Lytechinus pictus: one gene and its partners. The protein of the gene in region 2 binds, or shares a complex with, the protein of the main gene of each other region. Links are inferred from orthologs where the notes say so. Each region holds a gene or a part of one and is shown on either strand. Other genes may lie near its edges. The genes, in order: DNA primase large subunit-like, DNA polymerase alpha catalytic subunit-like and DNA primase small subunit-like.

Region 1 (11,492 bases), on a different chromosome or scaffold from region 2:
GGGAGATAAAAGAGGGCTCGATATAAGGGAGATGGGGAAATAAAAGAGAGATATAAGGGGATAGATAGAAAGGGAAGGTAAGAGAGAGAGAGAGAAAGAAGAGGAAAATCAGAAAGAATTAAGCCAAACAGAAAGGAAAAATTATAAAGAGGGAGATCGAGATGATATAAAGGGGAGAAATAAGAGAGAGAGGGGCATGAAAGTAGAAATGGAAAAAATAGAAGGGGATGGAGAAAAGGGAGGATAAGAGAGATGGACAGAAGAGGAAAATCAGAGAAAATGAGATGAGATGAATAGTTGAATGAGAAGGAAGGTTTAAAAAAAAAGCTAGAGAAAAGGGACATGATTTCTAATCGTTAAATTTTTTTTTTTAATGCAACCAGCTATATAGTAGGCCTTTATTGTTAAGACAAATTGTAGGCCTACTCAGAAAGCATATTTGTTGTGGGGCCTTTCTTTGTCACAGTGTGCGCGTGAAAAAGGTCAATCACACACAATCATGGCATTGATGATGTGAATAGAGACCTATTCTTAACATCAGCTACCACTCAAGCAACACGTGGCCACCCTTACCTTAAAAAAAATACAAGCTATTTTTTAAAAGGAGTAGACTGGCAGTGAGACAAAACACCTTCAGTGTTAGAGTGGTTAATGACTGGAACTCTTTGCCTACTGAGGTAGTCACAGCATCAACAATCAATGGCTTCAAGACAAAGTTAGACAAGTTATGGGGAGTGTTTCATCAACATTTTCATCCGACAAGTTGTCAGATCTGACATCTTTCTCTGATGTTGATTGGCTGAGATGTACTGTTACTATGGTATCTGTCGGATAAAATGGGACTTGTCGGATAAAACGTCCGACAAGTCCTTTCATGAAACGCTCCTCTGGTCTGCGTGAAATTATGTTCACGCATGGGAATAGTGCCTTTTTCATTTCAATACATTGGCACAGCACATTGCACAAATAGCACAGACTCAGTTTTCGAACTTATCCAAGCTAGGAAAACAACAAGATAGACCTGGAAACTTGACTGCAGGAACAACTGTATTTTTCCAGTAGATGCGGTATAAAAAAAAAAAAGGGCTTCTGACCGCAGTGAGACAAAATTTTGGGTGGAAAAAATCATGCTTTTGTTGGTGTTGTTTCTTTTGTCCTTTTGCAAAGCAAGTCTCCAATGACAAATTGACATGTGGGAGATTGTCTCCCCTATTGGAGAGAGTGAGAGTCTCCCATATTGGCCGTGCGCCTCTACTGTTTGAGGGATATTCATCATATTAGGGGGAATTGACTTCACATCGTTCAGTAGACAGGAATAACCGTCGTTTCTGGGGATTTATTCAACAATTTCTGACATTTTACTGTAATCCCCATTTACCGACGGTAGGGTGTACGTGTGGGCTCGCATGTGTTCTCATTCCCTCCCTTTTGTCAATTCACAGTCCAAAGTTTGATGTAATTTTACACATCGAATTTACAATCTAAGGATGTATAAACAACAAACTTTTAAAACTTGATATTCCAATATTTAAATACTTTAAACGATATAGATGAAAAAGGCATGAAAATTATACTTTACCGATGTTTAATTGGGTTGAACACGATAAAAATGGTCAAAATGGCAGCCAAACTATAAAATATTTACAAACGAACGGAGAGGGCGTCAACAATCACGAATGTGATATCGATATTGCTTTCGATATTATACGATCTGCTCCATATGCGAACGAAACCGAAGATAAACGATACTAGTTATACTAGTACTAGTACTAGTTATAATCGCGATATATCGATTCGAGACATTAAGTTAATAACGATAATGACGTCATTCAAGATGGCAACTTGCAAGAAAAACCGTCAGGTCAGGTGAAAATGTCTAGAGGCGCTGGTCCAAAAATTGGGATTGTCCCGGAAAACAAGGATATCCTCATAAACCAAGACAAATCATGTCTTGATAAATTGAGACTGTCCTTGTTTATGGGGACGTTTTTTTTTCACTTCCCCCTACGGGACAAAGAGAGCAATTACGGGAATTGAGAGTGCTAAAAATAGATTCAGTGACCTCAATTCCCCCCAGTTCACCGTCTATTTTTCATGACTTACTGTCTTCCCATAATCTTGTTATGAAACCCGATGGCCCGTATTCTGATAGCGTGGTTTAACTTAACCCTAGTCTAAGTGTGGTAATAAACTGCCATATTTAAACCTAGGTTTAAGTTTCGTATTCCGATAGCAAGGTTTAAGTTAACCCTGGTCTAAGTGTGGTAATAAATCCTCAAAAAGTTAAACTCGCGCAGGGGGTAGTTTAAGCCTGGTTTAAATCCAACAAATCATGGCCAACAATTTTTTTAGAATTTATGCCTATATTGCATTACAAGCTACTTCCTCAGTTTTTAACCGATTCTCATGAAATTTGGAACACACATTGTTCTCAAGGTAAGGAGGTGTAAGAAGTTTTTTTTTCCTTTTTTGGAGATTGTGTTGCCATGGCAACAGTATATTATGGCCAAAATTTTGCCGTTTAAAATACTTTCATCAGTTTTCTACCAATTCTCAAGAAAGTTGGCTCACTCATTGATTATGAGGTAAAGATGTGCAAGACACATTTTTTAATGTGTCGGAAATTGTGTTGCCATGGTAACGGTATATTATGGCAAAAATACTACTTCCTCAGTTTTTAACCAATTCTCATGAAATTTGGCACATACATTAGTCTTATTGTGAAGATGTGCAAAACATATGCTATGCCTAAAGTATATAATTGCGTTGCCATGGTAACAACATATTAAATATCGAAAATGAGGTGAAAAATTTAATTACTTTATAATTTTTAAACCATTTCTCATGATATTTGGCACATACATAAGTCTTGAGATGAAGATTTGCAAGACACATTTTTTGCATGTGTCGGAAATTGTGTTGCCATGGTAACGGTATATTATGGCAAAAACCATTTAAAAAATTTTCAATTCCAACTATTTTCTCAGTTTCAACCAATTCTCATGAAATGTGGCACAAACATTAGTCTTGATGTAAAGATGTGCAAAATATATTTTATGACTTTGTAAAAAAATAATGTTGCCATGGTAACAAATCAAATATCAAAGTTAGATGAAAATCAAGTGATTTGAACTACTTTATCAGTTTCCAACTGGTCAATTCTCTTAAAAATTTGGCACATACATTCATGTTGAGGTGAAGATGTCTAAGATATATTTTTGTCTGTATTAGAAATCGTGTTGCCATGGTAACAACATATTAAATAACGAAAATAAGGTGAAAATTTGGTAGTTCGAACTTCATCTTTTTTCAAATGCTCATAAAATTTAGCACACACATTAGTCTTGAGGTAAAATAATCTGCAAGACACATTTTCTCATTCATCAAAATGTGTGTTTGTATGGTAACTATACACACACCAAAATAAGATTAAGACAATGGTCAATGCTAACTGTTGTTTGGCTACACAGAAAACTACATGTAGCTGTAGGCTTAGTTCTAGTTTTAAGGGAGTGCTAGACCTCTAGATCTCGAACTACAGTCCCTAGCTTTAGATCTAGGCCTAGATCTAGATCCTTTAGATCTAGCAATAGAAATAATCCAACGTTAGATCTCTAGCCTAACGTTACTTCCTTTAAAGGCCTTACATTAGATCTACTGTAGACTAGCCTACATTTACTACTTTTTGATTTAGGAATCTACATTGAGCATGTTGAGAGTCTACAAATCTCTAGATCTAGACATATTACATGTAGACCTAGATTGTTATAGATCTAGTTCTAGGTCTAGATCTAGCCTAGGCCAGCGTTAGAGATTCCAGATCATACAGTAGACTAGATCAGCCAGTCCTAACATTAGGGCTACCGGCTAGGCTAGAAATAGAATCTAGAATGAATAGATAGCACAGACTAACCTTAGGCCTGGATCTAAATTCTTACATAAATCTAGGTCAGGCCTAGTCTAGTCAAGACTGAGCCGTTGGTCTAGGTTTAGGCCTGTTTTCTAGTCCTGGACCTGGAAACCTAAACAAGTCCCCCAAAATGTTTAAATAAAAAAAACTTCAAAGAAACAGATATGGACCTAAACAGGAGTAGAGAGATGTCTAGGACTAATTCTAAATTTTGCCAGGCCTAGTTACTTGGCAAGCAATGCAGCGATAGTCAGATCTAACGGGATTTATTTTAAAAATTCTGACATTTTACTGTCATATCACATTGCCTTGGTGAGAGAGGCCAACGTAGACTGTCATAGTTCAGCGGAACAACCAATGCAGAGACTGTTCAAAGCTTTTTGTCTACATGTATGTAAGAAGACAAATCAGATCTATTCCACTAGATCTAAGTAAGGTTAGAAAAGCAATCTATATCTATCCCTGTCCCAAGGGCAGGCTAAGCCAGTCTAAGTCCTGAATGTTGTTCTTAGCCTAGACCAATATGTAGCTTCAGTCTCGGTTGCTCCACTAAATAGACGGTACGTTTTGCTTCAGGAAAGTAAAAAAGTCAAAACAATGTTCAAAACTTCAATTCTCCTCCAAAAAAAGGAGTCCAAACAATTGTTGGCCTAGGCTAGTACTGAGTAGGGCCTATAGGCCTAATGTTAGACCCAAGACTACTCTCAAAAGTTACAAAAAATTTCTCTTACTTAAAGTTAGAATAATATTGTCGACCATTTAACTTATTGTTTTAGATCTAGGACTAGAGTCTAGACTCTAGTCTAGAGTGGGTGAGGGGAATCTAGTCAATTTAGATTTTGACAAACGTGAAAAGCAATAAATGGGACTGATACACAAAAAACTATGCAGGTCACTCGGTTTGGGATTGAAATGTTTTAGTAATTAAAAAATATAAAGATAATCTGAAAGAAAATTTCTTACCATATATGGGTGATGAATGTTTTTCTTTCACTACAATAGTTGTAATTAGTTTCCATAAAATCCAAATTTTTAAGAAAAAACAACTTTAGTGACATTTTTTCAACTTCGTTGCAGTCATCCCTGCAGCAGTAATTTACCACAAAGGTGCTAGTCTTGGTTAAAAGAGGATTATTATTTCCAAACAGAATTTAAACCCGGGTTTAGCCCAGGTTTAGTTAAACCTGGCTATCAGAATACCAAAATAATTAAACTACACTTAGACCAGAGGTGAGGTTTAGAGGAGGTTTAGTTAAACCAGGGTTAACTTTAGACTAGGGTTAAGTTAAACCTGCTATCAGAATACGGGCCGATATGTTTACATTGACTAGCACGCTTGATTGGTGTCGGCACTTGACAGGTGAATGAACTTTCCTAGATTTCTTGTGTGAAGAAATCCTTATAAACTGAGACAGTCCCTGTAAACTGGGACGATCCCAATTTTCTGACCAGCGCCTCTACTGTAGATGACAGATTTCTCAATCATCATGATCATCCAGAGGATTTTTTTCAATAACTCCGGCCCAAGGTTAACCCAGAGAGCTCCAGCCCGCGTAGCGGGCTGGAGCCCAGACGCGCAGTGTACAAACGGGCATTCAGGTGAGAGTACCGTGAAGTTTGGTCAATATCATTTACATAATACATAATTTAAACAGAAATTAAGCACTTACCACGATTGTATGGATGATAGTCTAACGAGTGGCAGTTTCCTGACATCGAGGCACAGACTGGAACCTCAAAAAACGATCAGTTCTGTCGCGGTAGCTCTCCTCTTTCAGAATTCAACACAAAATGGCCGATCGAGACCGAGGCTAGTATAGCACTAGCGCATATAGACTTTGTCAAATTCGCGCATGCGCCCTACACCCTCTCGAACGGCCATTTTGCTATGAATTTTGAAAGAAGGAGAGCCACCGCGACAGAACTGATCGTTTTTTGAGGTTCCAGTCTGTGCCTCGATGTCAGGAAACTGCCACTCGTTAGACTATCATCCATACAATCGTGGTAAGTGCTTAATTTCTGTTTAAATTATGTATTATGTAAATGATATTGACCAAACTTCACGGTACTCTCACCTGAATGCCCGTTTGTACACTGCGCGTCTGGGCTCCAGCCCGCTACGCGGGCTGGAGCTCTCTGGGTTAGCCCAAGGTATGCAATTACTTAAGTTATTTATATTTCCCTGATAATGGAAACCATGAAACTTTCAATTTTGCTTAAAAAACAGTTTTAAATCGCGATCTATAAAACGCTAGTTCACTATACGTTGGCTGTAGGTACGGGGCCCCATCCCCTTCAGTCTATGTATGGTGAGTGGAGCCAACGTAAACTAGTTCAGCGGAACAACCAAAATACAGAGACTGAAGCTTTTGGTCTAATCGTTCAGTAAGTTTCTTCTCGTATGACTTTATTTTATAAATCGACGGTCTCCTCTACTCTGTCGAGCTCTTGTGAAATTCGCGGGAGTTTGTTGCAATTTTGCATGCGCTGTGCCTTCAATTTACCTGTACACGACGGCAGTAATATACACCCATGGGTGCGTTTAAACATAACTTAAGTACGACAATACACCAGGCGGTGGACTGTACTGTTTCAGAAGAAGAAGAAGGCTTCAGAATACGGGCCTATATTTCCCACGTAGACACTCTAACTTAGATTACAATGTGTGGGACTGGGCTTAACGCTAGGGGACAAAATATCAGGTGAACTCACTTTAACACTTTTACTGGATCTCCGTATTTATCGTAAACCAATGATTTACAGGACGGAATCGATGAGAAGTATCTAAATTCTAAAAATGGTGCACGCAATGCTTGAAATCTTGAAATGTTCCCTGATTTTAAAATCCATCTCGCACATATCTTGAGGCTCATGGGCGCTGCCATCTTGGATTTGTGTTTGCGGAAGTGGAGAACACCCTCTCGCGGTTGATTTTGGCAAACGCGGGAAATTTAGTACGGGAAACTTTCGGCACAACATTACAATCTTTTTCGATTGATTCGAATTCACTGCGTGTGGCGCGGACCACTTTTAATATTTCTTCTGAAGACAGAGAGGTATTTCATCCAGATTTATCATTAACATGGAATTCTCAGAGAACACCACGAAGAAGAGGATCAAGAAGGAGTCGTTCATTGACAAAACCAAAGAACCCCATTTGCTGTTTTATCGGATTCCACCAATTGAGAACATTTCCCTCAGTGAATTTGAGGATCTTGCTAAACGAAGATTGGCAGGTAAGTCGGCGATTTCTTGCTTGCAGTTTTCAAGCGCAATGTACGCGCAATTCCCATGATTGTTTGATAAAATAGAGACACCAATAAATGCAATAACTTAAAAAACATAGGGGCCTACTTTTTATATTATTTTTGCTGACGATAATTAATACTTTTTGGAAAATATTGAAAGCGATGACAAATTAAACAAAAAAAAGAGAAAATTCTACGGACCTTGAAATTTGAATGAAGCCCGCAAGAGCTACCCTTCGTTTGTCAATAAATCATAATGTTTCACCAAAGTCTTTACAGTAAAAAGACTGGACACTTTGCCGACTTCGCGTAACGCTTTGCATCGATTTACGTGTAAAATAGTTTTTGTGCCTAGTCTTTCCCTCTACTTGTACAAGTTGTACTATTTGTACTTGTAGTGTCTTTGATATGAAGATAAATCGCACGCCCTCTTTAGCTAATTAGACAAAAAATTTGGGAAATAGAAGCAAACTCCGTATTTTGTCAACGAGAAGAAAAATCAACGCTTAAATGATTGAGGGATAGGCTATATCATATTAGGGGGAATTGACTTCACATCGTTCGGTAAGTTTCGTAGGACTTGATTTTATAAATCCTCTTCTGAAATTCGCGGGAGTTTGTTGAAATTTTGCATGCCTTCAATTTTCCTGTACACAGCAGCAGTAATGCACCCATGGGTGTCTCAATGGCTGCCTGAATTGATGATGCTCTGGAGCAGAAATTTAGGCTGAAAAAAAGGGTCGAGCGTGGCACATACATGTACATACAAACAATGGCATGCTGAGTAACCCCCCCCCCCCCCCCCCCCGGGACGAAGAGTGCAAGAACATGATATGAAGGAAGTTAAAATCGAATGTGTTAGGGTCCAGACTCCAGGTCAATTTTTTTTTTTTTGGGGGGGGGGTGAATGTACTATTCTCACAACTGCCTAACGTTAACTGTTTAGCCCAAATGTTAAAGGTCTAGTCCACACAAGAAAAATATTGATTTAAATCTAGAGGAAACTCCAACAAGCATTTAAAAAAATGCTGAAAATTTCATCAAAATCAGATGAAAAATAATAAGAAAGGTATTTTAAAGTTCAACTTATTTTTCACAAAATAGTTATATTAACAAGTCAGGTCTAGATCTCACTATAACATAAGAAAAGTAAAAAAAAATAATTATTATTGTTGAGTGATTTCCCTTTAATTTTGTTTTTTTAGTTCTGAAGCATGTTGAGTCTGTTGGTATCCGGCATGTCAAAGGAAGTGAGGAGTATAACGAAAGAATGGACAAAGAACTAAAAAAATTGATGCCCATTGCCCACAAGAAGGTATTGTAAATATTCACAACTGTTTAATAGTTCCAGAGAGAGAGAGAGGCCTGATTTTCATGAATCTAGTAATATTTCAATGATGATGATGGTGCTGATGGTGATGATGATGATGATGATGACGGAGATGATGGGGAGGGTTTGGATAGCATTCACAGAGAGAGAAGGGGGGATCCTGTAATGCATGAACTGAGTCATAATGATATTTTAACTATGATTATGATAGGGATGATGATGATGATGATGATGAATTGATGAGTATGGAGATGAAGAGGATGAGGGGGTGGAGAGGGGGGATACTGTGATGCATAAACTGAGTCATAATGATATTTTTACTATGATTATGATAGGGATGATGATGGTGATGATGATTTATAATGATAATAATGAGGATTCTGACAGTGATGATGGAGATGATAAAGATGATGATGATGACTGATGATGATAAGGATGAAAATGATAATGACGATAGTGGTGATAATGATGATGGTGACGATGATGATGATGATGATGGTGACAGTGATGATGATGATGATGGTGATGATGATGATGATGATGATGATGATGATGATGATGATAGCAATAAGGGATTATGAAGATGGGGAAGGCGATGATAGCAGTCAAGGGTTTACGATGGTAGGGTGGGTGTGATGATGATGCAGGAAAGAGACTATAGGCCTATGGTGACCGCAATCATGATGCTAACATGTTGCTGCTGACTGTTGATGATGCAACAACTTTCTCACAGTTATGCTCTGGAACCCAAGCCACAAACAACCAAACAAATATTGCATCAATGTTTAATAAATAAATATTTTCCATTGTAACTTCTTTTTTTATATTCTACCATGACAGATGAGTGGGGAAGACTTGGCAGCTCACAAGAGAGATGATCGGATCTCCCATTTCATCTTGAGGTTGGCTTACTGCAGATCGTAAGTTGAATACAAAGGGTTACTCTTTGTTTAACCCATTGTAGACTAGCTGAGCCCATATCTAATCTATCTCGGCTCTTTGGAAGATTTATAAAGACTTTGAGGGTTAAAAATAGTATCTTTAGTATAGTTGTGGGAATGTAAAAACATTTTGTTAAATTTTCTTTACATCGTAAACAATATAGGCCCTATTGGACAAATCTCAATTATAGTTCATGTAGATTAAGTAAACTTAGAATATGTCCATCTCCATGCATACAAATGTGGCTCAGAATGGTGTCATTTTAGGATAAAAATTGGTTTTATTTCTATGTCATAATTGTGATACTGGTATAGATTTAACATTGGATGTGCAATACACATTCTTTTTGCATTAACTACGTGTAACTTCTTAATTAAATCTGTTTAAATAATCATCACTAACCTACCATTTAAAGATAACAATTGTTTTGATAAGATACGAGATGTTAGTCAAAAGAACCGATGAGTTGTGTTTCACATTTCATATATTTTTTTAGGCTCTACATGTACCTTTTTGTTTCTTCTAATGGTGCTTTATAGGGAAGACCTCAGGCGATGGTTCATCCAGCAAGAGCTTGATCTGTTCAGGTATCGATTCCTGAGGGAATACAGTGAATCTGTCACGCAATTTCTGGCTGAGAACAAACTTCATTACACTCCAGTGAGTAGAGCATTAATTAATTTTCTTGTACATCATATCCATTGATTGAAATGATTTTAAGGAGTGGGAGGGGAAAGAGGTAGGGGTTTAGAGAAGCACCTTAACCCTTTGAACCCGAAAAGCCGGAATACCGGCTTCACCGTGAACGCGCATATACCCGGAATACAGGCTTCAAGTCGTGTGATTGGAAAGCAATTGTTTTTAGATATCAATTAATATTTAATACAGATATTTTGTCGATAACTTCAGTTTATAATTTCATGGATGAATGGCTTCCATTTATAAAGTTTTACCGTAAAAATGACCAAAATATACTGCCCTACCAAGGAGATTCGTGCGATGATACATGGTGATGTGTATACGGACCGTGCATAAGCTACTTTTGAATTTACTTCTGTCAAAGCAATAATTTTGAGACAAAATTTGAGATTATAGTTGGTACGGGTAGCTATAAAACATCAGCCGGGCCAGGCCGGGACCAGCAGAGTGAGGTGCCGCTGACATAGCAAGGCTCATTTCAAACGTCATATGTTCTTTCATTTTTGCTGATAGTGCCCAAATAATTCAAGGTGAGGGTCACGACCGTCCCAATTAATTCAGAGTTCAAAGGGTTAAGCACACATATTCTTGCCAACTAAATGCTAAAGGCAGAGGGATTGTAAAAACACAATAGTCTTGTAAACGACAGCGAGCTAGGGGAGGGGGAAGAGGGGAAGGAGGTATAAGAGAAACCTTTAATCACACATATTCTTACCAACTCAATGCTGAAGGCAGACAAAAGTCTTGTACATGTAAATGAAAGAGATGGAGGGGAAAGGTGAAGGAAGAGAAAGGGGGAGGGGGTAGAGAAACTCCTTATTCCTGCCACCTCAGTGCTGAAGGCAGAATGATTATAAAAGCAAAAAAAAGTCTCATAAATGAAAGAGATCAAGGGAAAAGTAGAATTGAAGAAGACGAGGAATAATTAGAAATGCTGGGATCGGTATTTTTTTCAAGAACTGGAGTTGAATAAAATAATAAGACTTTAAGTGATGGTGGAAAACTATGAGATTTAAAAATGGAGAGGCGTAGTAACCCATGTTCAAACAACGAAAAAGGATACTCCGGCAGATGGATGGATAGAAGTACACTGTATGATACCAATTTTTTTCTGTAGATATATAAACATATGTCTTGAAACATTGCTGTTATTTTCACTTTTATCTTACAGATCCCTGAGAACGAGAAAGATGCATTGAATGAGAAGTTGGTGAGATCTTCAGCGGGGATCAGCGCATCAATGATGGCCCATACAGACTTCTTCAAGGTTCCCTTCACCGAGGCCCTGGACCTTGTCAGAGGACGAAAGGTCTTCATTCAGAAGGTTAGACCATTGTTTAAGATGATGAGGAACCACTGGCAT
Region 2 (11,732 bases):
CACAGTGTCATTATAGGATTTTAAGGTCATTACAAATTATGTCACAAATAATTTCGGATTGGGTCATATAGAAGAACTCCTCTAATTCGTTGAACTCTATTTCATATTCCTTGCCATTATAGTTTTGAACGACACCATTCCACCACACTTCCACCCCTTGGTTGTCTTCCCATTTTTGGGTGAAATTCTTTCTTATGAGGGAGGTGGGGTGTTTGATCAACATCAGGATATTTTTCATTTTTTCATCACCTTGATTCCTGGTACACTCATTTTCTAGGATCTGATGTAGTTCTTCAACATTACATTTTGATAGGTATTGCTTGTTTGGGGATGGATTAATCAATTGCTGCAATTTGATTTGATTTGTAAGAAAAAATTTCTTGCTTGTCTTTGATGTCTTCTTGGAGAGAACTTTGTCAATTGATGTGGTGCCTTCCATTACACCTTCCTCCAATACATGCTCTATCACTTCTTCAATTTTCTCTCTGTGTTTCTTCTCCTTTTCTGTCAGTGAAAGTCTGTTTGCTTCATTTTTCTCTTTTACTGCTTTTGATACATGTGATGAGAGAATTATATCATGTTTACGTACCTCCTTCCCTTTCTTCATTGCTGAAGTAATTGTTTTCTTTTTCTCTTCTGCAGATTTACCTTCCAACCAATCCCTTGTGTCATTGGAGGAAAACATTACCTTGGCTTCCATCTTTCCTACTGAAATGTTTGGTGCTCTGTGTAAGAGAGAGTCTGCCTTTGCAAACTGACGTTCACCAGATATGTTTGTAGATGAACACGTAGCAGCAGCTTCACATAGATCCTGTCCTGGTTCCCAAAAGACTCCCCCTTGCAATTGGTCTTCTAGTTGTCTCTTGCACACAATGACACATTCGTGCATCATTTTCCCCAAGATAGGACATAGAGGAGCTTTTTTGTCATCATTCATGTCGTCAATGAATGGTATAGCTGCACATTCTCCAAAGGCACATCTATTGGTAGAGAGCATCAGTTGTGGATCCATCTCCCAACTCGACATACAATTGACTGCTTCCTGGTATGCAGTGTTAATTCCAAGAATGTTGTCTGCTGTACCTACCATCTTCATCCATGGCTCCGTAATCTTGAGTGAAATAAGAGCTAAACAACAAATACAAGCCTGAAGGTGGGGATCTTGAAGATACTGGTACAAAGCTGATTGTAAATCATTTGTGGGCTTCTGAACTTTCTGAAAGTAATTCAAAATAAATGGCATCATCGCAACTAAGCACTTGGCAGATTTAAATAAAATGTTAAATCGATTTCCTACCCATCTTGGGAATGTTGTCGCTGGACAACCAGCAGTCTTCAGAAAGGATGTCAGAGCAATGCCACATCCAGTTGCCTCATTATGGAATAAATCAGCTACCTTTCTGATGAGGCATGCGGTATTACTCTCCCCTCTCTTCTTGAAAAGTCTATGATATTTATCTTGGCTTTCACTCTCCTTTAATGCATTATCGCATGCCTTGCCAAGGGTGTCCAGAGGGTGCATCCCACATCTGAAGCTGTTGATATGAGATTCCCCTTTCAGGTCAGAAAGTTTCCTGTCTATTGCTGTATTTACACTCGCTCGATCCGTCATCGTATTTGCTATGCCGTCAAGCAGTAAAGGATTCACATCCGATAGAGATTCGTTGATAGCACTGACATATTCGTCGCTTGTTCCTCCAGCTTGCTGACGTAATCCTACCAAGTACGTTTTCTCTTTAGAAGCTAGTTCGCATTCTACTAGGTGACCAACTCGCGATTTTGTTGTCCCATCATACTTTAATGTTGTATTGCTTTTTGACACAAAATGCTCCTCAATCTGGTCCCGACAAATTGCCTTCATCTCAGAAGCAAAGCGTCCTTGAGTTTGCCGAGACGGTAGCTCATTTGTGAAGGTCACATCACATAGAGTTTCTGCAACAACTCTAATTGCTTCACTTACTTTGCCTTCTGCGACTCCTAGGTTCTGTAATTTATTTATAAAAGTGGGGAGGGATACAGTAATAATTTTGCATGCAATCTTTATCAGAATGATGTGACATTTGCTCTTGTGGCAATTGATCCAAGGACAGTTGGTTACGGTTAGGGTTTGACAGAAGTTTGTTTAAAACTATGTTAGGAAAATCAATGTGTAGTGTTAGATTTGGGGTTAGCATATTTGGGCTTTGCCTTTTTTGCCAGAACAATTATAATGAGACTTTTTGTTATTAAAACAGTATTAAACTTTGTAAAAATTACTTAAACTTAAGAAATTTAGTACATGCTTATAGATTACTGAGTCAAACTTAAAATTATCTAAAATGGTTTAAATATAGGAAGAAATAAAACATGCTCTAGAAATAAATTCATTGTGAACAATAATGATGAATGAAATCCTTGAAACCAGTTGAACTGTAGAAGACTGGAAGTTTTGGATAAATAATAAGCTATGCTGTTATCCACATACACATGCTCATCATAACTTTTTTGCCCAATTGTTATCAAGGTTTCAAAGATCCTATTCTTGAATTATTCTGTTTGCATTTGAGTGAACTTCAATCCCTTTTAACATCCTTGCTATTAATGAAAAATGTAAAAGCAATAATCGCTACATTTTTATAACAATTGAAGTAGGTAATTTTTATATCATAGACCAGGGCAACTTTGCATACAAGCTAATATAATGGTAATTTTGCCATCCCATGGTAATGCTAATCACCAACCAATCAAAATCAAAGATTCCAGACAAGTTACCCCGGAATGGCAAAGTTTACCATATTACAATATTCTATGAAATTGGGTCTTTGTGATCAGTTTCCAGTACTGTATCACAGGAAACAATCATGTATCTGATCAATTACCTGTTTTACATATTAAAAATGTCACAAGGGGAGTTTTGAAATTACTATTATGAACATTATATGACTTAATTCCTATCACTTTATTTTTTATAAATCAACTTGATTCAAAGCCAACCTGTAAATAGTAGGATGCTTCTCTTATCTGAGGGGTGTAGGACTGACCAATCTTGGTTTGGATTTGTTGAGGATGATGGGACTTGTTTTTTTCATCTTGAAGATTTTCAACAGTTTCTTTGAGTTGTTCAATCTCCTGTTGCTTCTGGGCGACCTTGATTTTTTCTTGCTCTGTGTATTTCTTTTGAATTCTTTGACGTCTTCTCTTTTCTTCTTGCAATTGTGCTCGAAGTCTCGTAATTTCAATTGTCTTCCGTTTTTCTTCACTCTTTGTCATTTGGTAGTTTATCCTCCATTCCCTTTTAGATTGTTTAAGTCGCTTTATTGTTTCGGTAATCCGTTTTCTTCCACCTCTTACACTGCCAAATATAGATGTGAAAGACTGAACCTTTTCTTTATTCTTTTTCAGTTCCTTCTCAAGGTGCTTCACTTTCTTCTTGTAAGTCATTACTTCCCTCTCTGTTTTTTGTACTATGTCCTTGAATCTCTCAAGTTCTTTTCCTAAATTTTCTACTTGATCATTTGAATAGACTTTTCTCTTTTTAGGACTAGCAGCATCGTGATCTTGGTCTACTTTAGCATTCTTTGGAGGTTGAACAATTTTTCCTGGGGGCTCGAAAGGTTCTTGCAGATAGTTGACCTTCACATCATTTTGGTCTTTAGTTTGTTTTGTTTTGTTTAGTTTCATGTACCTTCCATAGATCCTTGTTAACTTGGTCTGAAGGGCCTTTAAAGAACATTCAGAGTCATATTTGTTTTGAACTATTTCATGAAATTGTGACCATGTAATTCCCTCTCCTCTTGTGAGTTTTGGCAGTAGATCAATGACAACTCCATTAGTAATCCTATCAGCTGGTAGCTGGAGCAGATGATCCACCTCTTCTGACATTTTGGCCATGATCTTATATTAAAGCCAAATAATAATATCTGGAAGGCAAAATAATGATGCAACCTTGCTGAAAAAACCCTTTAAACAATTGAATAATAGTTATTACAATTCCATAATTCAGATTTTCGACCACAGTTCATATATGAAGAAAAATTCCTGAGAACGTAAGTGCCATTAAGATAAAAATCATGACACCTCATGATAAAATACTGGAAGAAAAATTACTCCCCCCCTCCCCTTTCCCAGTGCAGTGCAGAAAAAAATATGTGCAATAATGGTGCTGAAATTGTTAGGAGTACATGACACAGAAATCATTTTTTTCCAAGAATTTTGCGAGAACAAAACATGAAAAATAGAACGAAAAATTCAAACAAAACAGAACTCTAAATAATAAAAAAATAATAGATAAGAATCTTATGTTTCTTTCTTGAATATTTAAATTTCTCAAGCTAGTCATATGCTAGCTGTAATCCAGCATAGAGATCTTGTCATGTGGCATTAGCCAGATATGGTCGTTCATGGCTTCATCCTTGGCCTGGACTGATGTTCACAATCGGCCTGGAAATTTTCTCGCCAGTCGCCAGACATGCGGATGATGAGTTGATAATGGACTCGATTTAGCGTTTTCAGGAATAGATTACGAAACCTGAAGGAAACAAAAATAATAATAAAAGAAAATAAATCAAATCATAGTAAAAAAGATTGTCAATAAGGGCTTTGAAAATAAAAATACATGTGATTTTCATAGAGATTTAAAGGAAAAAAATCATAATATAGAACGGAGCACCTCCCCCCCCCCCCCTTTCACCAATTTATTTCTGAAAAAAAATGTAGCATTTTACAATTTATTAGTTTACAAATAGAAACACTGAGTGTGTAAAATAATCGATTTCCCCAAGTCTATAATAGATCAAATATTCATAAAAGGAAAAAAAATTTAAAAAATCATACCATATTCCGATATCAATACATGATCTAAAAATAAAAAATAAACTGAAGACAGTGAAAACAAGTAAAAACAAAAGTCTGAGAATAAGATGTAAATCCATCATGATTCATAATGAACAGGAAATAATAGGTTGTGTGCTTTGTTATGCATCTAGTTCATTGTAATATAACAAATTTTTAAAGTGAATAAAATGTTAAATTGGTCCATGACTAACTAATGAAGAAAATAATATTACCTACGTAATAAGTGAGTGCAAATGTGCACACTGAAAGCGATACGCGGGACTGTGCAGGGCAGATGAAGCAGACGCCAAATCCCCCCCGCGAAATTCAAGAGCGCGAAGGCGCTAAATCGCGACAATTTTGCCTGCAACAGGCCTGTGCATCAAGCTGAATCGCTTTCATCCGCTAAGTTCTTCCCACGTAATTTCGGTGTTAAATTAAAGCTTAGAATTTCATCTTCATCATGAATCATGATGCATCAGTGTGCAAGTAATATAATTATTCATAAAAGTCAAGATTTCTACAAAATCAGGCAAATTTGGTACTTACAAGTGATTTTCCAGGCCTCTCGATCGTCGTTCGTTGGTTCGCTGGAAGTGCCGATGAGTCAGATGGTAAGTCTATACGTCACACAGCCATATGGTGTCTAAATCATTTTTCTAGCATTCGATATATACATGTATGAGTGGATTGAAGAACGCCATGCCATGGCTCTGGAGCTCAATTTCGCTTCGTCACGCTGCCGCCGCCGGTCGCAATTTTTGTACAGCGAACGGAGCTCGCGAAAAAGCGCCCTCTTGTGATGCGTGAGCGTGCCTATCTAGGCTCTACTCTACTCTCTATTTTTTAGTCTAGACTCTAGTCTCTAGTACTCTACTGACTCGTACTCGTTTGACCTTCATCCATATAATCGTGGTAAGTGCATAATTTCTGTTTTCACAATTCATTTGGAGAAATATTTAGACCATAAATCACGCTAGTCCTGTGAGTATGGTCAAATACACGGTAAGCCCCTGGGCTCCCGCCCGCTGCGCGGGGGGGAGTTCCCTGGGTTACCCCTCTGCCGGCTGCCTCGGCCCGGCTCTGCCTCTGCACTGCCTGGACCTCTGCTTCTGGCTCTGGCAGGATTTCCGGCGAGGAAAAGCATTAGTAATTCCATGAATAATTGTAAATGATTTTTCCTGAATCAGCACTAGGGAAGGGTTCGGGACATAAACCCCCGGAATATACTTGAATAAACCTAAAAAGAAAGCAAAACGTATTTTATCAACTTAAAAAATATTTACCCGAGCCTGGTCCTTGCTCCGGATCCGAGCTGAGGGTGCGGGTACGTGGATTAAGTTGAGGCCAATTTTAATTGTTTTAATTCATTTAAAAACTTATTTTTTTTTAAATATGCATATAAAATCATCAACTAAAAGGTAAAAATATATGATTTGAATATATTTATTTTATTTATCTACACTTAGGAATTGAAACAAAATAATAACTCAAAACTTTTAAAATATATTAATTATAAATTTTAGAGAGATTGTTGTGGACGAGTTCACTTATTATGAATGGAAAGCTGATAAAGAATACTTTATTCAAATCTATATTCCCAATTCTATTTTACATAAGCTTATGATAAAACCTTAAAATAATAATAAAATATGTATCCTTGAATTTTTCTGATACATTTAAACCATTTTAAGGATTTCGTGTAAATTAGTTTTAGATTTGCAATATGATATTTACCCATCTAACAAAATGGACCAGTCTAAATCAAATTTCGCGCGGAGTTTGTTTTTCTGGCGCGCCATTGTTCATGTCGATCCCCAAGTACGGGGACGGAAGCGCCGGTACGGTGAGCGAAGTGGCACTATTTTATCACGGCAGTCCGTCCGCCTGATCTTTCGACGGTGCCCGGTCTACAGTACAGGCTTGTGTTTCCTCGGCTTCACTTGGGCCTGGGCAGATTCGATGCTTCACGACTGACACAATTTACCCACACGCTCCCCTTACCTGGCTGCTGATTTGCTGCTGATTTAGATCTAGATCCAGAGGATGGCACCAGTGATGGATGACAGAGAAAATGGTAAAAAAAGTTAGGATGGGGGTCGAGTGTCCGGACACTTTAAAAATTTTGAAGCCTCCTTTTTTGTCATTGACGCTCTCCGTTCTCACTAACAAGTAACATAACGTTACCGTCCTTAGTAAAACTAACTAGTAGTAACTCATCTAGTTTTCTGGAAACTAGTTAAACATGTATTGTACTAGACAGCTGGCAGCCGTCTGTTTCGAGGAGTTTTTTAACATTTTTTTTTTTTTAATTTCTCCTCATACTGTCATACACAGACGTGAGACGGCTCGCTAGCGTGCAGCCACCATTAGGGGACTTGCAATGCAAAATCCCCCCGTCGGGGCTCTTCAATTTTTGTCTTTAATGAGTACAAATTTTGAAAATTCACGCGACCAAAATGCAAATTAACATTCCCTCTTGGCATCAATTGCCAAAAAACGGAGAAAAATCAAGTTAAAAGGAACAAAAATAGTGACTTACCTCGGCTATCGCGCAAATTCACTTCCCCGTTTTATCCGATCTTAAGTACATAAACATATGGCCATTGAGTCCCCTGTACAGATCGCGCTAGAACTTCGGTCTCTGTATTTGGTGGGTGAAGCCAACGGAGTTCAGCTGAACAACCAACATAACAGAGACCGAAGCTTTTGGTCTAGTATTGTACATGAATGGTTGAAGTGGTCTTTCAATGATTTAAACCACTTCACGTCTTTAATAGGTTAGTTACATGAAATGTAATTGTATTTGTAAGTGGTTTTGACAACCACTTTTAATCGGGTGATCAAAAATGTGACTTCTCGAAACTAGACACAAGTCGCGTGGTGAGAAGTTGATATAAATAATGGCAAAGTACAAAAAAGTACTTGAACGTTTTGAAAATTTCGATTTCTTCATATTGTGGATCTTGGCCCTCTCTACCGTGTTTCAAGTTCAAGAATGGTCTGTAATTTAGCAAAAGGGATAGGCCCTAGATCAAGTCAAAGACAAAGCCAAGTGAAAGTGCAGAAAAACAGTTTCTCTGCGAGTAGATCTAGATCTATTTTTTTTTTTGGTTTATAAAACGAGCGAGGTTTGGGAAAGCTTAATTTAGACGTCAATTTTCCCTCTGCATAAAGCTCCGCCCCCTAGCGACACATGCATTCACTAATTATTGGTCATTCATCACGTGATTTCGGCAATGAAATTACGCAATTTATGACGTGTGCTTAAGTTCAATTCATGATCACTGCACTGTTCGGACGATTCAAACCAAAAAATTGAATTTGAATAAAGTAATTGAGCAAGAAATCCATGATCAAGGGTGGTACTTAAAAGCGTACATGTTTTGGAAAGAGGTGCCAGGCGTGTATCAAGATAAAACGAGCGCCTGCTGGACAAAAGAGTTAAACGCTAAGAGGTTTGAAAGAAGTTTTAATGGTTTGATAATCATGACTCATTAAGATGATACAAAAGCGAGGACAAAAGGCGATCGATGGACCTGACCCTCCCCTCATCCTCCGGGTCTGAGAAAGACAGAACAAAGCCTAAGGTCAGCGAATTCTATAGGGATGGGCCAGATCAGCATGGGTCGGGGATAGTGAGGATCGAGGGATAAATAGAGCAACCACTAAAAGAAGGTGAAAGAAGGCAGTTGACTTTTGGGTTTAAATTTGATTGCAAGTTAAAGTCTAGAAGCTAGAAGGGCACTGGAAAAAGAGCATTATTCTGATCACGCTCGGGCTCTTTCACTTCGCTCCAGTGTTTTGAATAAAACACCAGATGACACTTTGAAAAGAGAGATCAATTTTAAAACTGAGCTACAAAATGTGTTTTTAAAGTGAATACGAGTATTTTGGTAAGAGTTCCATATGCACCCCCCACTAAAATTGAAAATAAAAACATGGAGAAGGTTCAGAATAATATATCTAGCCCTAATATCGAACATACATGTATATGATGGGGAAGTGAAAATACATACCAAAATATGGCTTTATTCCGTCAAATTTCGAGCAAGATCTTGTGCGTGTAATTGTCCATAGACATCGGTTTATTTAGTCAGTAAAGGGTCTGCGAGTCAAGACTAGTCGAACTATCGGCTGATAATCGTAAAAATACCCCTTCCGGTATCAGCGCTTCTTGCTAGCATAGCGGGAAAGGTCTTGACTGCAGATCAAACGAGGTGAGTTCGAGTCCCAACTAAGGTAAGCAACAGTAAAAAAAATGATAGAAAAATCTGAAGTGAACGAACCGGAAGTCTCAACAATCTTTTGTTATTTTTGGTGGGGGGTGCATATGGAACTCTTTCCAGTATTTTCAGTGAAAAAAAGAAAAAGAAAGGGGCGGCAGATCCAGGGTGAGAACACGATAAAAAACAAATTTTACACAAAATATTCATGCGTAGAATCCACAAAAAACAATTGATTTGTCAGTACTAATTCTTTAAAACATTGATTCTTTAAAATTTTGATTTAATACTTATAACTTTATTTTTAAATTGGACAAAAAAGATTTAAAAAAACAAGAAGTAAAATGCAGAGAAGTAGAAAGATGACATGACAAAAATTATATTGTGTTTTGATGGAAAGTGTAGTTTGACCAACTCAAATACTCTTGTAAAAACTTGGTTTAATGAAGATGCATTACAGGGCGGCTCACCAGCTCATCTTAAAGAAGGTGTGAAAAAATGTTTGAAAAAAGGAAGAGTTAAGAAAATAGGGGAAAACGTCCGATTGGTCAATAATCGTGACCATTGTGCCTATGGTTCTCACTGCAAGGATGATAAACTAAAAGAAAATGCATGAACTGTCAGATCATAATATTGATCGTGACTCCAGGTATAAAGTCATCGACAAAGTGTGGGATAGGCCTCTTAAAGGATTAGATTAGATACATGTAAATCAAACTCGGAACATTTCTTTTTTACCATGTCTTAAAGAACTTATTCTAAACAAAATGCGCTTTATCCAGATTACACTCTTTTAAACATATGAGAGCAAAACCGGGAGCAAATCTCGCCTTCATGAATGTCCATGCGAAGCTATATACCTCCTTTGTCCGGTCCCACACTCCCCCTGATTCCCTGAAAGTACGTATTACACAATACCAAAATAACTATCGCGAGCCGCGGCGGGAAGGTTATCGGAGCTGGGAAAAAACTTGGATTTCTCCCATGAAAAACATTATAAATCATCTCTCAAATGATTAAAATCTGAAGTTTTAGATAACTAGATATCCTATGCACTGTTGCTAAGGCCGTTTTCATAATGAAATCGACATTAACTGCTGGAAAAAGCATCACAAGGGCAAAATGGAAGTCCAACTTTAGAAGCGTTTTCCTCAAAGAAATACTTTTCCAGAGCCCTCATTTTCTCGTGTATAAAAGACCTGGATTCCCCCAGTTCTCCGTCTTCCAATAATCTTGTTATGAAACCTGATATGTTTACATTGACTAGCGCACTCAATTGTTGTCGGCACTTGACAGGTGAATGAACTTTCCTAGATTTCTTGTGTGGATAAATCTTTGAAAACTGAGACAGTACCTGTAAACTGGGACGATCCCAATTTGCTGACCGGCACTTCTACTGGTTTTGATCCTCCGCTCTTGGGAGATTAGCAGTACATCGCACTCGATAGCATTGATGAGTTGATCATCTTCTATGATGGGGTGATTTGCGCACGTAGCAGGTCTAGCAATCTAGATCTTGACTCTGCAATGTACTTTTGAAAATTAGCATGAAGTTGATATTCAATCAAAAATATCTCGCAATTTATACAAAGTGAACCAAAATCATTAATACCAAAAGCGAGATCGAAGAGTCAAAATCGCTCGACAGAATTATAAAATAGATAGTATCACGATCTCAATATGGCAATTGACCAGTGCGTGCTCAGCTGAAAAAGTGTCATGAAAAAGTGTGACCTTATTTTGCACACAATAGTTTTGCATTGCCTTAAAAAAGAAGTAACGCAGACAAAGGTAAGATTATCGTATCAGATGGAGGTTAAAGACACCCTTATGATTTCAAGAACCCTTTTGGTCTGGCAGTGACAGGTGAATGGCCAGTGGTAACAAATTGCTGATGGCAAACTATAAATGCGTTTGCACGTTAGATGAGAGTTGGCCCTTAGGCCTATTAACATGTGGTACTGGTCCAAACTGAGCGTCATCCTAGTTTTCTAAGTCTTGCCTCAGCCTTGGTCTTGGATCATATTCAATTGTCTTGAGACTAACGTTAGACAGTATAGAGAGTAAGATGCACACGTACAGCAGATATTGAGACTCTCCAATATGAAACTGGGAGACAATCCCCAATATTTGAGACTTGATTTGCAAAAAGATTTAAAAAAAAACAACACCACCAAGAAGGTAATTATTCCATACCAAAATTTTGTCTCGCTGCTTTCTGAAGCCCATTTGATTTGTGTGTGGATGATATCAAGATAATAAAAAAAAAAAAAGTGATATAGACAGTAAATTTTTGAAGTAGAAATAACGTTCGGTTATTTGGCTAAGAAGAATTATTTTTTCATAAAAAATACATTTTTGTTTGCCTGAAGAGTAGTTAGACAGTCATTGTTTTGTTTTATTACTTTTTGTTTTGATATCAAGTACATGTAAATTTCAAGAATGTTGTTACAGAAGATTATACAAAGGTATGCGGTACAGTGTGAATTCTATCGTTTAAACATAATGTCCAGTTGATTGAGCAGTCAGGGGGGGATGACATCAGAGGTCATTTGGTAATTATAATATGGGTTGATGTTACATACAGAATTTATAAGAACATTTTTTTTTTTACAGGACCATGGGCTTCGGAGTAGAGGGTTATTTTTTATATTTGGGTGAGGGGGATTCTACAATGGTTCCCCCAGCCCCCCA
Region 3 (10,729 bases), on a different chromosome or scaffold from region 2:
CCGCCCTCCGGTCAATAGTAATTATTAGAATCTCGGTTGATTCGTCCCTATGCTCACCAAGTTTTCTCTATAAGCTTTATCCCGTATTTAGTGAAGTTTGTCACTATACTAGCACCTTAATCAATTTGCCCATCAAAAAATTCAAATTGCGTTTTAACATATGTTTTTCCATTATTCCGTATATTTGCAGCTAATCACCTTTGAAATATACATCTGTACCATTAAAAGTTCGTCTTGCTCTTTCTTGAGGAAAATAAAAATAAGCTAACATTGACAAAATCCATTTATGATAGGGTGACGATGGAAGAGTAGAAAAGATACGCAAAAATGTTGGACATAATAAAATGCCCTATATAGAGTTTAACAATTACGGAATAAAGCAATATTGCGAAGGAGGAAAATTGGGAAACAACATAAAAATACAGCATGAAGTGAAAGTTCATGAATATATAAAATCATGCATAAAAGTTTATGCATTATGTGCGAGATGCGGCAAGACACATCTTGATGTCAGTGGGGCACGATTGACATGGAGGGCGCAACTTTTCGCAGAGGATTAGAGTGAGGATGGTTTGAGAGGATTAGAGTGAAGAAAGAAAGGTTTGAGAGAGATGATTGATGAGCTTGCCGGGCGAAAAAAAAATGAGGAAATTTGTTGACTTGGAATATTTTGGCGGAAGGAGTGAAGGAGGTTAAAATTCAATATAACGGGGCATTTATATATAACCAAGAAGGATAACGCAAAAGTGAGTATATGAAATTATTTACAATTTCTTGTGCATACTTTTTTTTTCAATTTTGCCGTGCCTACCAAAATGCCACATTTATTTGAAAATATCCGAGAAGATCGTATATTGGCGGACCGATATCGACATGAGGTTTGCTGTAGAGGGGATAACTTGGGAGTTTAGAATGAAAAAAAGGAAGCTATATATATGTTAAAATAAAGTTTTAGGCCTACACGCCGACTACGAACATCAAGTGCAAACTAGTTGCGTGAGTTTTTTGTTCCATGTTTAGGCCCCCTGTTGCCTAAACAGAGAAATGTTCCGGGTGTTATTTCAGGTGACTCAATATACTCAATAGTAAACGCACATCGTGTTAAAATACATAGCGATAATATAAACGAAGTGAAAAAAATAACAAAATCCTGTTTGGAATTATTGGTACCAATATATATATTTTCTAATGAATTAAATCACTGATCGTTGATTCCCTGGCCTGCTATAACTGCCGCCGGGGAAACCTCCGTACGACTTGAGCGCTAAACCAGTTTCGGCTGTCAGCTCATCTCATGTGGCATGCTGACTACGATGCTGGACTGCAGATCAGAAGGTTCGAGTTCGATCCCCATCATGGACAGAAAAAATAAGGTTAGTAAAACAGTGTTACGTAATATAATATAATATGAAATGAAATGCACAGTATGATGAATAAATTGGATGGAATGAATGAATGAGGAATAAATCTACCAACCATGTATCATACAGAAAACACAAAAAGAAAACGAAAATACGATGCACATAGTATTTTATTGAAAACCCGCCGATTTCATATATTTTAGTGCCCCTTCACCCCCCCCCAATCCCTAATCCCCGCCCCTCTCTCGCACAGCTGAAATACCCATTAACACGCCACTTCACTGAACGCCGATATCCCGCTGACTGAGCTTTGTTATTGTGCGGTCATGTGTGACACCGGTCGCACATGCTCTTACGCACGTCTAGCGATAAGAATTTTCACTGGGCTGAGCAGTTTTAATGGCGCTTGGGCACAATAGCGAATTTGGCCGTCCCCAAATCCAAAAATGGGGATTATTAGATTCGCACAGCTCGAGAACTTGCGAAATGATAACACACACAAATGAAACACACTTACACTTTGGTTCTCTCCCTATTATATACTCGTGATACAGTCCCCACTCTGCGGGAAAACAAGTTTGATTTTCACGGCGGTGGGGACAGTTTCAACAGTATAGTATACTCGTGATACAGTCCCCGCGCTATGGGATACACAGTTCACTTTGCACGCAGTGGGGATAGCTCCAACAGTATATACTCGTGATACCGTCCCCTCACAACATAAAATCGTGCTCGTTCGACAAGGGGATGGGGACAGTTTCCCAGTGCAACGTGACAAGGAAGACTCATTCAAAACCTTCGGGAATTATTATTATTATTATTGTCATCATCATATTATATTATCATTTTATCATTATTATTATTTTATCATAATTATTATTATTGTTATTTAATCATAATTATCATTATTATTATTTATTTTATTATTATTACTATCATCATAATAAATATTATTCTTTATTGTTGTTGTTATTATTATCATCATAACAGTGATAATAGTATAATAAATTATTATATTATTATTATCATTATTATTCTTTATCATTGGAAATGTGCCCCTTCAATCCAGTCCGTTCCTTGTATTTCATTTAATTCCTTCAAATTAAATCACTGTATAGACTCATTCATAACTTTTGGGTATTATCGTAATTATTATCATCATTATTGTCATTATTTTTTATGGTATTTATTTATTATTTACCTAATATTGTTATCCTTATTTTTTGTTAACATTATTTATCTTTTATTGATTATTTTACAATAATTATTATTATTGTTATTATTCTCTATTATTAACATTATATTAACCTTTATCATAATTATTATCAACATCATTATTGTTATTAATCTTTATTATCATCATCACCATCATTATACTATTGTTGTTATCATTACTTTATTTTCATTTCCGTCACATATTTGTATTGATTACTTTAATGTTTTGGGGTGACTCTTTCAATAATAACGACAACAAAAATGAAAATGATGCCAATGATGATAATAATTATGATAATAATTAATACCCAAACGTTATTATGAGTCTACAGTGATTTCATTTGAAGGAATTAAATGAAATACAAGGAACAGAATGGATGGAAGGGGCACATTTTCAATGATAAAGAATAATAATAATAATGATAATATAATAATTTATGATATTATCATTATCATTATAATAATAATAATAACAACAAAAATAATAAAAAAATAATGATATATGATGATGATAGTAAAAATAATAATGATATTAATAATAATAATAATAATGATAATAGCAATAATAATAATGATAATTATGATTAAATAACAATAATATTAATAATGATAATAACAATAATAATTATAATTATGATTAAATAACAATAATAATATAATGATAAAATGATAATAATGATAATATAATATGATAATGACAATAATAATAATAATTCCCGAAGGTTTTGAATGAGTCCTCCTTGTCACGTTGCACTGGGAAACTGTCCCCATCCCCTTGTCGAACGAGCACGATTTTATGTTGTGAGGGGACGGTATCACGAGTATATATACTGTTGGAGCTATCCCCACTGCGTGCAAAGTGAACTTGATTTCCCGTAGAGTGGGGACTGTATCACAAGTATATAATAGGGAGAGAATCCAAGTGTGTGTTTCATTTGTGTGTGTTATCATTTCGCAAGTTCTCGAGCTGTGAGAGAGTTGGGGACTGTGTTCTGGAGAAAGGAAGTGATTTTCATGCGTTCTGGTAGGTGTGATTCTAATAATCCCCATTTTTGGATTTGGGGACTATATCACGATTATGCCCATAGAACAAGATTGCAAAGACAAGGCGAAAAAATCCAACTTTTTAGTTTTACTTTTTTAGTTTAGGGGCCTACTTGATAGTTTAATTTTTAGTTTTACCTTATTTATCTCTAAAATGACAGAAAATGCTTAAAATATCATATAACAGTTTTGCATTAACAATTGATATATTTTCTGATGGAAATATGGGCCTGATTTGCCGAATTTCAATCTCATCCGCTCCTTCGATCGAATGTTGAACTGGTGGGGTGTGTTGACTAATGTCAGTAGACACTCACACGTATTGCGAGGTTTATAGTATGTACTTATATGAACCTCGCACCACCGTCACCACGTACGTGTTTACAGTATGGATTTTAGAGTTGCCGGTTAACATCGCTTCATAACGCGAATAATGTTAGCCGAAACTCATTCCGCTACTCACCAGGGCTTTTTCTGGTGAAAAGCGTTCCATTTTCAATTTTACAAATTTTATTCATGGAAAAAGCATGCAAAAAAAGAGCAAAATTGCTTACCTCGGCCTGGAAAGTTGCTTTGCATGTCTCTTTGACGGAAATAAAAGGAAGGTCGTTGGTGGCGCTAATACAATTCACAACCTTAATTCAGCTTGACGGTATTTTTTAAATAGATTTTTTATTCATGGTATGCGCAATTCCAATGATTGTTTGATATAATAGAGACACCAATAAATGCAATAACTTAAAAAACATACTTTTTTATTATTTTTGCTGACGATAATACGTTTTGGAAAATATTCAAAGCGATGACAAATTAAACAAAAAATATAGAAAATTCTACGTACCTTGAACAAAGCCTCGCAAGTGCTACCGTTCGTTTGTCAATTAACGTTCCACCAAAGTCTTTACAGTAAAAAGCTCAGACACTTTGCCAACTTCGCGTAACGCTTTGCATCGATTTACGTGTAAGATAGTTTTTGTGTCTAGTCTTTCCCTTGTAGTGTCTTTGATACGAAGATAAATCGCGCGCCCTCTTTCGCTCATTAGACGAAAAATTTGACAACTCGCAAGGTTGCTTTGTATTTTGTGGTCAATGAGAAGAAAAATTAACGCTTAAATGATGCTTTTTGAGGGATAATCACCATATTAGGAGGAATTGACTTCACATCGTTTGGTAAGTTTCGTAGGAGGATTTCATTCTGTAAATCCTCTTATTAGATTTGCAGGAGTTTGTTGAATTGTTGAATGCGCCGTGCCTCAATTTTCCTGTACACGGCGGCAGAGATGCACCCATGGGTGGTCAGTAGAGGCGCAAGGCTAATATGGGAGACTGTCTCCCATGTGGGAGATTACTCCAATATCAGAGACTTTCGTAAAGAATTTGGGTATCCAATTTCAGAGACAGTCTCCAGTTTGGGAGACCAACTTCCTTTGTTTACATTTGCTGCAAAAGGATTACCTTGGCGGCAAATAAAAATGTGATAAGCAGATTCCTCATGAAAAATTACCCCTTTTCAACGTCTACTTTAAAAATTCACCGTCTACTTTTGTTTTGATAAGGATTTTTGTTGTCATTCACACACAAAACAAATGGGCTTCTGACCTCAGTGAGACAAAATTTTGGGTGGAAAAAATCATGCTTTTGTTGGTGTTGTTTCTTTTGTCCTTTTGCAAAGCAAGTCTCCAACATGGGAGATTGTCTTCCATATTGGAGAGAGTCTCCCATCTGGGCCGTGCGCCTCTACAGATTGTGGGTGATCGTCGACTACTAGTTCTCAAGTTACCGTCCGCGAGGTTTACTGTATAATGTTAGAGCCGTCGACGAACATCGACGGCGCATCGATAGAACTTGATACGAACGAGCATAATATTGGAAAGAATCGTTGAACATGCAGCTAAAAAGAAAAAATAAGATTAGTTAGCAAACACAAATTTATTATGTCCAATTGTTTGGCCCATTGCCAGCCAGACAATTTAAACCATGCAATGCTTTGTTTGTTAAGCTGATCGGACCATTGACAATTGCATTATTTCCCTCCTCTTTTGCATTTTCAATGTTTCAACCTAAATCTTAATGCAATTTGTCCATACAGTTCCAAAGAGCTACTTTTTGAATCGTGAGTTTTCCTTCACTCTTGAGAACGACATCTACATCCGCTACCAATCGTTCAGTGACCAGAATGAATTGGAGAAAGAGATACAGAAAAGATGTCCATACAAGATTGATATCGGCGCTGTATTCACGCACAAGGTATTTTACGTAGGGCCATTTTAAAACCTGTTTAACCTTTTCACAAAGAAAGATGTTTGTGGTGGTGAAAATTAATCAAGATATAGAAGATAAATCTAGTATTTTGAATACCATTATCTCAATGTGCATGTATCATACAATGTGCTTCCATGGGATTTTTATTGAATTTAATACAAAACTACAGAAGTTCAGTGGCATTAAACAAATGTAAATGCATGATATTGAATAAATAATATAAAGAAATATGCAAATCATTTTGATTGTGGAATGATAAAAATTTTACTGCAACTTTTAACCACCAGAAATACATTTAGTGGAAACATACATGTCAGCATATTCAGCTGTAATTGAAGATCATTTGTTTGGTGATTTTCAGCATACTCGATTATCAACTAGTTCTCATTATTTCACAATGTTCGACTTGCTTTTTTATTTCAAATCCACTGTACCACTAACATTTTTCACAACCTACCAGTTTATGAATTCTATAATTGTGTTGAGGGAAAACAATTCATCTGATTATTTCATGACAGGATTGGCAGGAAAATAGATTTGATAAGGGGGGGGGTAAGATTGCAGATGAGACCTCTTTTTAATTCCTTGAATTATACTCTCTTTATATCCTTCATTTCTGAACTTTTTAGCCCAAAGATCATCGGACGTTAAAGGCGGCTGCATTTCAAGCCCAGGAGAAAGAGCTTGTCTTTGATATTGATATGACGGATTATGATGATGTCAGGAGTTGTTGCCAGTAAGTGAAATAAAATGTATAGTGATTGCTCCTGAAATAAGGGGCATATTTTGATTTATCTCCCATAGGCTTGTTGTGGTCTGGTGGTTGTGACTTTCAGACAGAGGGTTGTGGATTCAAATCCCAACCATGGTGTGTTGTTATTTACATTGTGTTGCACTCAACCGTGATGACGTGAATGGGTATCTGGCACTGACCCTGGAAGTGGCAGCTCGAGGTAAACCAGGGATGATAATTCTAGTGCACCACAGAATAGATTATTTCTACAAAAATGGCGGTAAATAAATTCCTTCTTTTAGTTTCGTGGGCGGCTCCCCTTTTTGCATCCTAGTTCTCTATAAGAATTTATATGAATGTTGTTGGTATAAAATGATAGGAAAAGAGGAAAGAGTATCGTGAAATGATTACAACAAGTTTGCAACACTATAAGTGATTATTTTGCTATGTTCAGGTCAAAAGTTTACAATGATCATTTGACATACAGATGTATACGAAAATTTGCAGAGGCATAATGGCATAAGCACGTAGGAGATACCGGTATTTATCTTTTAGTTGCTTGATGAGAAGATTTGATATGTATCAAAGAATATAATAACTTTTACAACTGTTTTATCTTTATTTCAATATTATTGTCTACTCATTACAGAGGTGCAGATATATGCTCCAAATGTTGGCCCCTGATGACGATTGCAATAAAGATTGTGGACAGTGCCCTCTATGGTATGACCTCTATAGATATTTTGAAATACAATGTGGATGTATATTTCACAAGAATATGACAGCTAACATTAATATTTTGAGTGAAATAAATCCCAAATTCTTGGAACAAGCATCGAGCATTAAGAAACTAGGGCCGGGTTGAACCGACTGATGTTGCCAGTCACCAGTGCCATTTTCTGCAGACTGGTAGATCGATGAACTGATGAAATACATTTTATCAGTTTAAGAACTAAATTTCTTAAGTTCCATGTAATATCATCAACCAAGTGGGACTTTGGACATAAGAGTACCATGCAGTACTTGTCAAAATTCTTGCTTTAATATATCGGCCTATTATGATGCTGTATGTGTTTACTACCATTTCTCACCCCAAGATTGCACTATAACTCCGACAGACCGGTGGAGTGATTACAATTTATTATTATTATTATTTATTCGGCATTTCAAAATACATGAATTATAGTACAATACAAATTACATAAAATACGTGACATAATACAAAGGACCTGGAATAGAGATAAAGGGGCTGCCTGGGTTTGGAAAAGGTTAACTAAATTACCACGACCCACAGGTCTTCCTTCCCTCACCCCTTTACCTCCATCCAGGTCAGTATAAGAATATTAAAAGAAACATGAATTAAAAGTATACAACTGATACTGGCAACAGTTAATTTGGCGAAACAAATGTAACAAGGATCCATCAGCAATTATCATTTCAATTGATTCATTGCAATATAATTATAAATAATAAAGTAAAAGAAAAAAAAAGTAATTTGACTTGATTGTGTACATATCCAAACTGTTTTTAATTCTTAATTGACTATTTTATTTGTCTACGGTTGGACAAGAAATTGTGCTACACTGAAGAATTTGACAAATGACTAAATTAATAAAATTTACAAACAGATGAAATATGGCTGTGCCCTTGAATAATTCAACAATATAACATTATGAGCTGATAAATTCAAGCAAAAACTTTTGAATTGATCATTTGTGCAGATGACTTTGGTTTTGAGCATCGTTTGTGGGTCTACTCAGGGCGACGTGGTGTTCATTGTTGGGTGTGCGATGAGGCTGCTAGAAAACTATCTCAGAATGCACGGTCAGCAATCGCAGAGTATCTCAGCATTGTCAAGGTAATCATTAGCTACCTATAAATAGAGAATAAATTTGCATATGGTAATGTTGATATTATAAGTATCTAATTGCTTTATATAGTATATGAATATTCTGACTGTAGGAGGGTTCCAATTATTTTAGTATGAATTCTGTGAGGAATTTATTATGCAGACCAGCCATGACACCACATTTTTTTTTTTCATGTGATAATATATCACTATTCTCTAAGCGAGAACTGTCGATACTCATGTGATGCCCATCATGTTTGTATTGTAACTATTTATCTCCACAGTAATGTTCATTTCTTTTTTTACTTATTCTTCATTTGGAATAATACAGATTTTATATGGTTTTGTAGGTTAAATATGTGATGCATTATAAGGGCCATCATTTGAATTAGAAGCTCACATCCGCTCAATGTATTGACGGTTAAAAGGGTAACAATTCAGAGTATAAGATCTTTGAAGTTAGATTAGAAACAGCTTGATAATGACAATTTGTAAATTAGAATATTGGAGATTTAGAGCTGAGTTATGGACAAAGTTGATTTTCTGTTTATTTGTTCAGGGAGGAGAAAATCAGGTGAAGAAAGTCAGTCTTCCAGAGCAGCTACATCCATCTGTAGAGTGAGTTTCTAGTCTCATATTCACAAAGGTGGTTTCAGTTGTACCATGTTACAAAACAGTGGACTAAGTAGATTTCTTCTATTATCAGACTTCATTCAAGCATTAATTTAGGGCCCTTTTCAAAAGTGTGCTTTTATAATTGAACTTTTCTTGGTACTTGTTGAAATAAGCCTAGTTACATACATAATATCTGCTAATGTTGTAACCCGCAAGTGAAAACCCGAACCGTACAGTCCCGTATAATCCAATAATTTGCAAGCGGTACCCGCTGACCCGTCGGGTTTTAACCCGCAAGTCAATTTATCTTTGAAAAATGAAAAATATTATTTCTGCAATCCCTACACTTATACAGGCTCAAATCAGGAAAATATATGCCAACTACTAACCTAGCCTAGAGCTTACAAACTTACAATTTGCAAATTCGCCTTTTATTCCGGAGAGAAAATGTTTTTTGGGGTGACTTTGTACCACGAAATGGGTCCGCTCTGATCTCGAAATTGAAAGCATTACGCAATTAACTCCTCTGATTGGAGCCGCAGCTCAGCGCGCGCTAGCTAGCCCAGGCTGCCCAGCAAAGATCGGCAATGTTGTTTTTCAGTCCAGGTCGGTCGACACGGCAACTCACAACAATCATAATTACAATATTCAATTCTATGGGACCTCGTCTATAAAGTAATCAAAATTGAAAGAAATACCAGGATAATGATACAGTCAATTTTTTCTTGTATATCTCCATGTTATTTTCTTCTGTTTTTGTATTTCTTCCAATTCTTTGTAAACTAATACAAACGTGCACGAGGGCGCCCATGAACTTACGTAAACAGCTCGTGTTACTAGTGCTTGGCTAGCTTAGCTATGCTTTTATTTATTTTTATTTTTTATCTCTCTCGATCAATCGGTCAAGAGAGAGGTACCGTATTTGCAAGAAACTTGCAATCCATTGTAATCCAATTTTACATCTTCTGAAATCTTAAAGACTTTCAATCAATTGTACACCGGAAAAATTAAGAGATCTGGGGGCCGTTTCATAAAGCTGTTCGTAAGTTAAGAGCGACTTTAAGAACGACTGGTGATCCTTTCTTACGCGCAAAACCATCGCTAATGAATATACCATTCGCCATATGTAAGGATCACCAGTCGCTCTTAACTTAAGAACAGCTTTATGAAACACCCACCTGGGCATTCAGGGTGCGGGGGCTTCAGTTTTCATCAGAAAATGTATGAAATAACGAAAAGGAGGGTTAGTTAGCCACTAGACTAGACCAGCTTAGCATGTCTTAAAAAAAGGGCAGCTAACACTCTGACCTGACGGCACGCTCTATCAGGTCATGACCTAATTTGGTAATCCAATAAGCAAAGAACTGTCTCACTGCCGTGCACCGCAAATCCCTCGAGCTCAAACAGCGAGCGTTGCCGTGGAAACAGGCTCAACACGCCCTACTCTCTGCCACGTGGCCTATCACTCGCTCCTTGCCAGACATGATTACGCAATGTATTCTGGCTTCTGTTTACATTTTCCGAACACATCCCCTCCCCTCTCTCTCTCTCTCTCCCCCTCTCCCAGTCGTAAAACATTCCTTTCTCTGACTGCGCTGCACTGGCGCTCCTTTGAAAGAGCAACTTGATGTATTATGTCGAACTGTCTCA

Evidence for each region.
Region 1: DNA polymerase alpha catalytic subunit-like (region 2) and DNA primase large subunit-like share a complex: the UniProt entries of both Drosophila melanogaster proteins name them as parts of the alpha DNA polymerase complex. The link is inferred for Lytechinus pictus from reciprocal best matches to the Drosophila melanogaster genes PolA1 and Prim2.
Region 3: DNA polymerase alpha catalytic subunit-like (region 2) and DNA primase small subunit-like share a complex: the UniProt entries of both Drosophila melanogaster proteins name them as parts of the alpha DNA polymerase complex. The link is inferred for Lytechinus pictus from reciprocal best matches to the Drosophila melanogaster genes PolA1 and Prim1.

The regions. Positions count from the first base shown.
Region 1 is NC_087261.1:23,510,140-23,521,631, forward strand, and holds the start of DNA primase large subunit-like, read left to right. Parts: upstream 1-6,845; 5' UTR 6,846-6,992; coding exon 6,993-7,146; intron 7,147-8,363; coding exon 8,364-8,473; intron 8,474-9,328; coding exon 9,329-9,408; intron 9,409-9,969; coding exon 9,970-10,090; intron 10,091-11,300; coding exon 11,301-11,453; intron 11,454-11,492. UniProt on the Drosophila melanogaster protein: Regulatory subunit of the DNA primase complex and component of the DNA polymerase alpha complex (also known as the alpha DNA polymerase-primase complex) which play an essential role in the initiation of DNA synthesis.
Region 2 is NC_087260.1:5,127,840-5,139,571, forward strand, and holds the start of DNA polymerase alpha catalytic subunit-like, read left to right. Parts: upstream 1-6,596; 5' UTR 6,597-6,858; coding exon 6,859-6,889; intron 6,890-11,732. UniProt on the Drosophila melanogaster protein: Catalytic subunit of the DNA polymerase alpha complex (also known as the alpha DNA polymerase-primase complex) which plays an essential role in the initiation of DNA synthesis.
Region 3 is NC_087245.1:19,760,400-19,771,128, reverse strand, and holds the start of DNA primase small subunit-like, read left to right. Parts: upstream 1-5,675; 5' UTR 5,676-5,690; coding exon 5,691-5,867; intron 5,868-6,511; coding exon 6,512-6,618; intron 6,619-7,264; coding exon 7,265-7,338; intron 7,339-8,336; coding exon 8,337-8,473; intron 8,474-9,023; coding exon 9,024-9,082; intron 9,083-10,729. UniProt on the Drosophila melanogaster protein: Catalytic subunit of the DNA primase complex and component of the DNA polymerase alpha complex (also known as the alpha DNA polymerase-primase complex) which play an essential role in the initiation of DNA synthesis.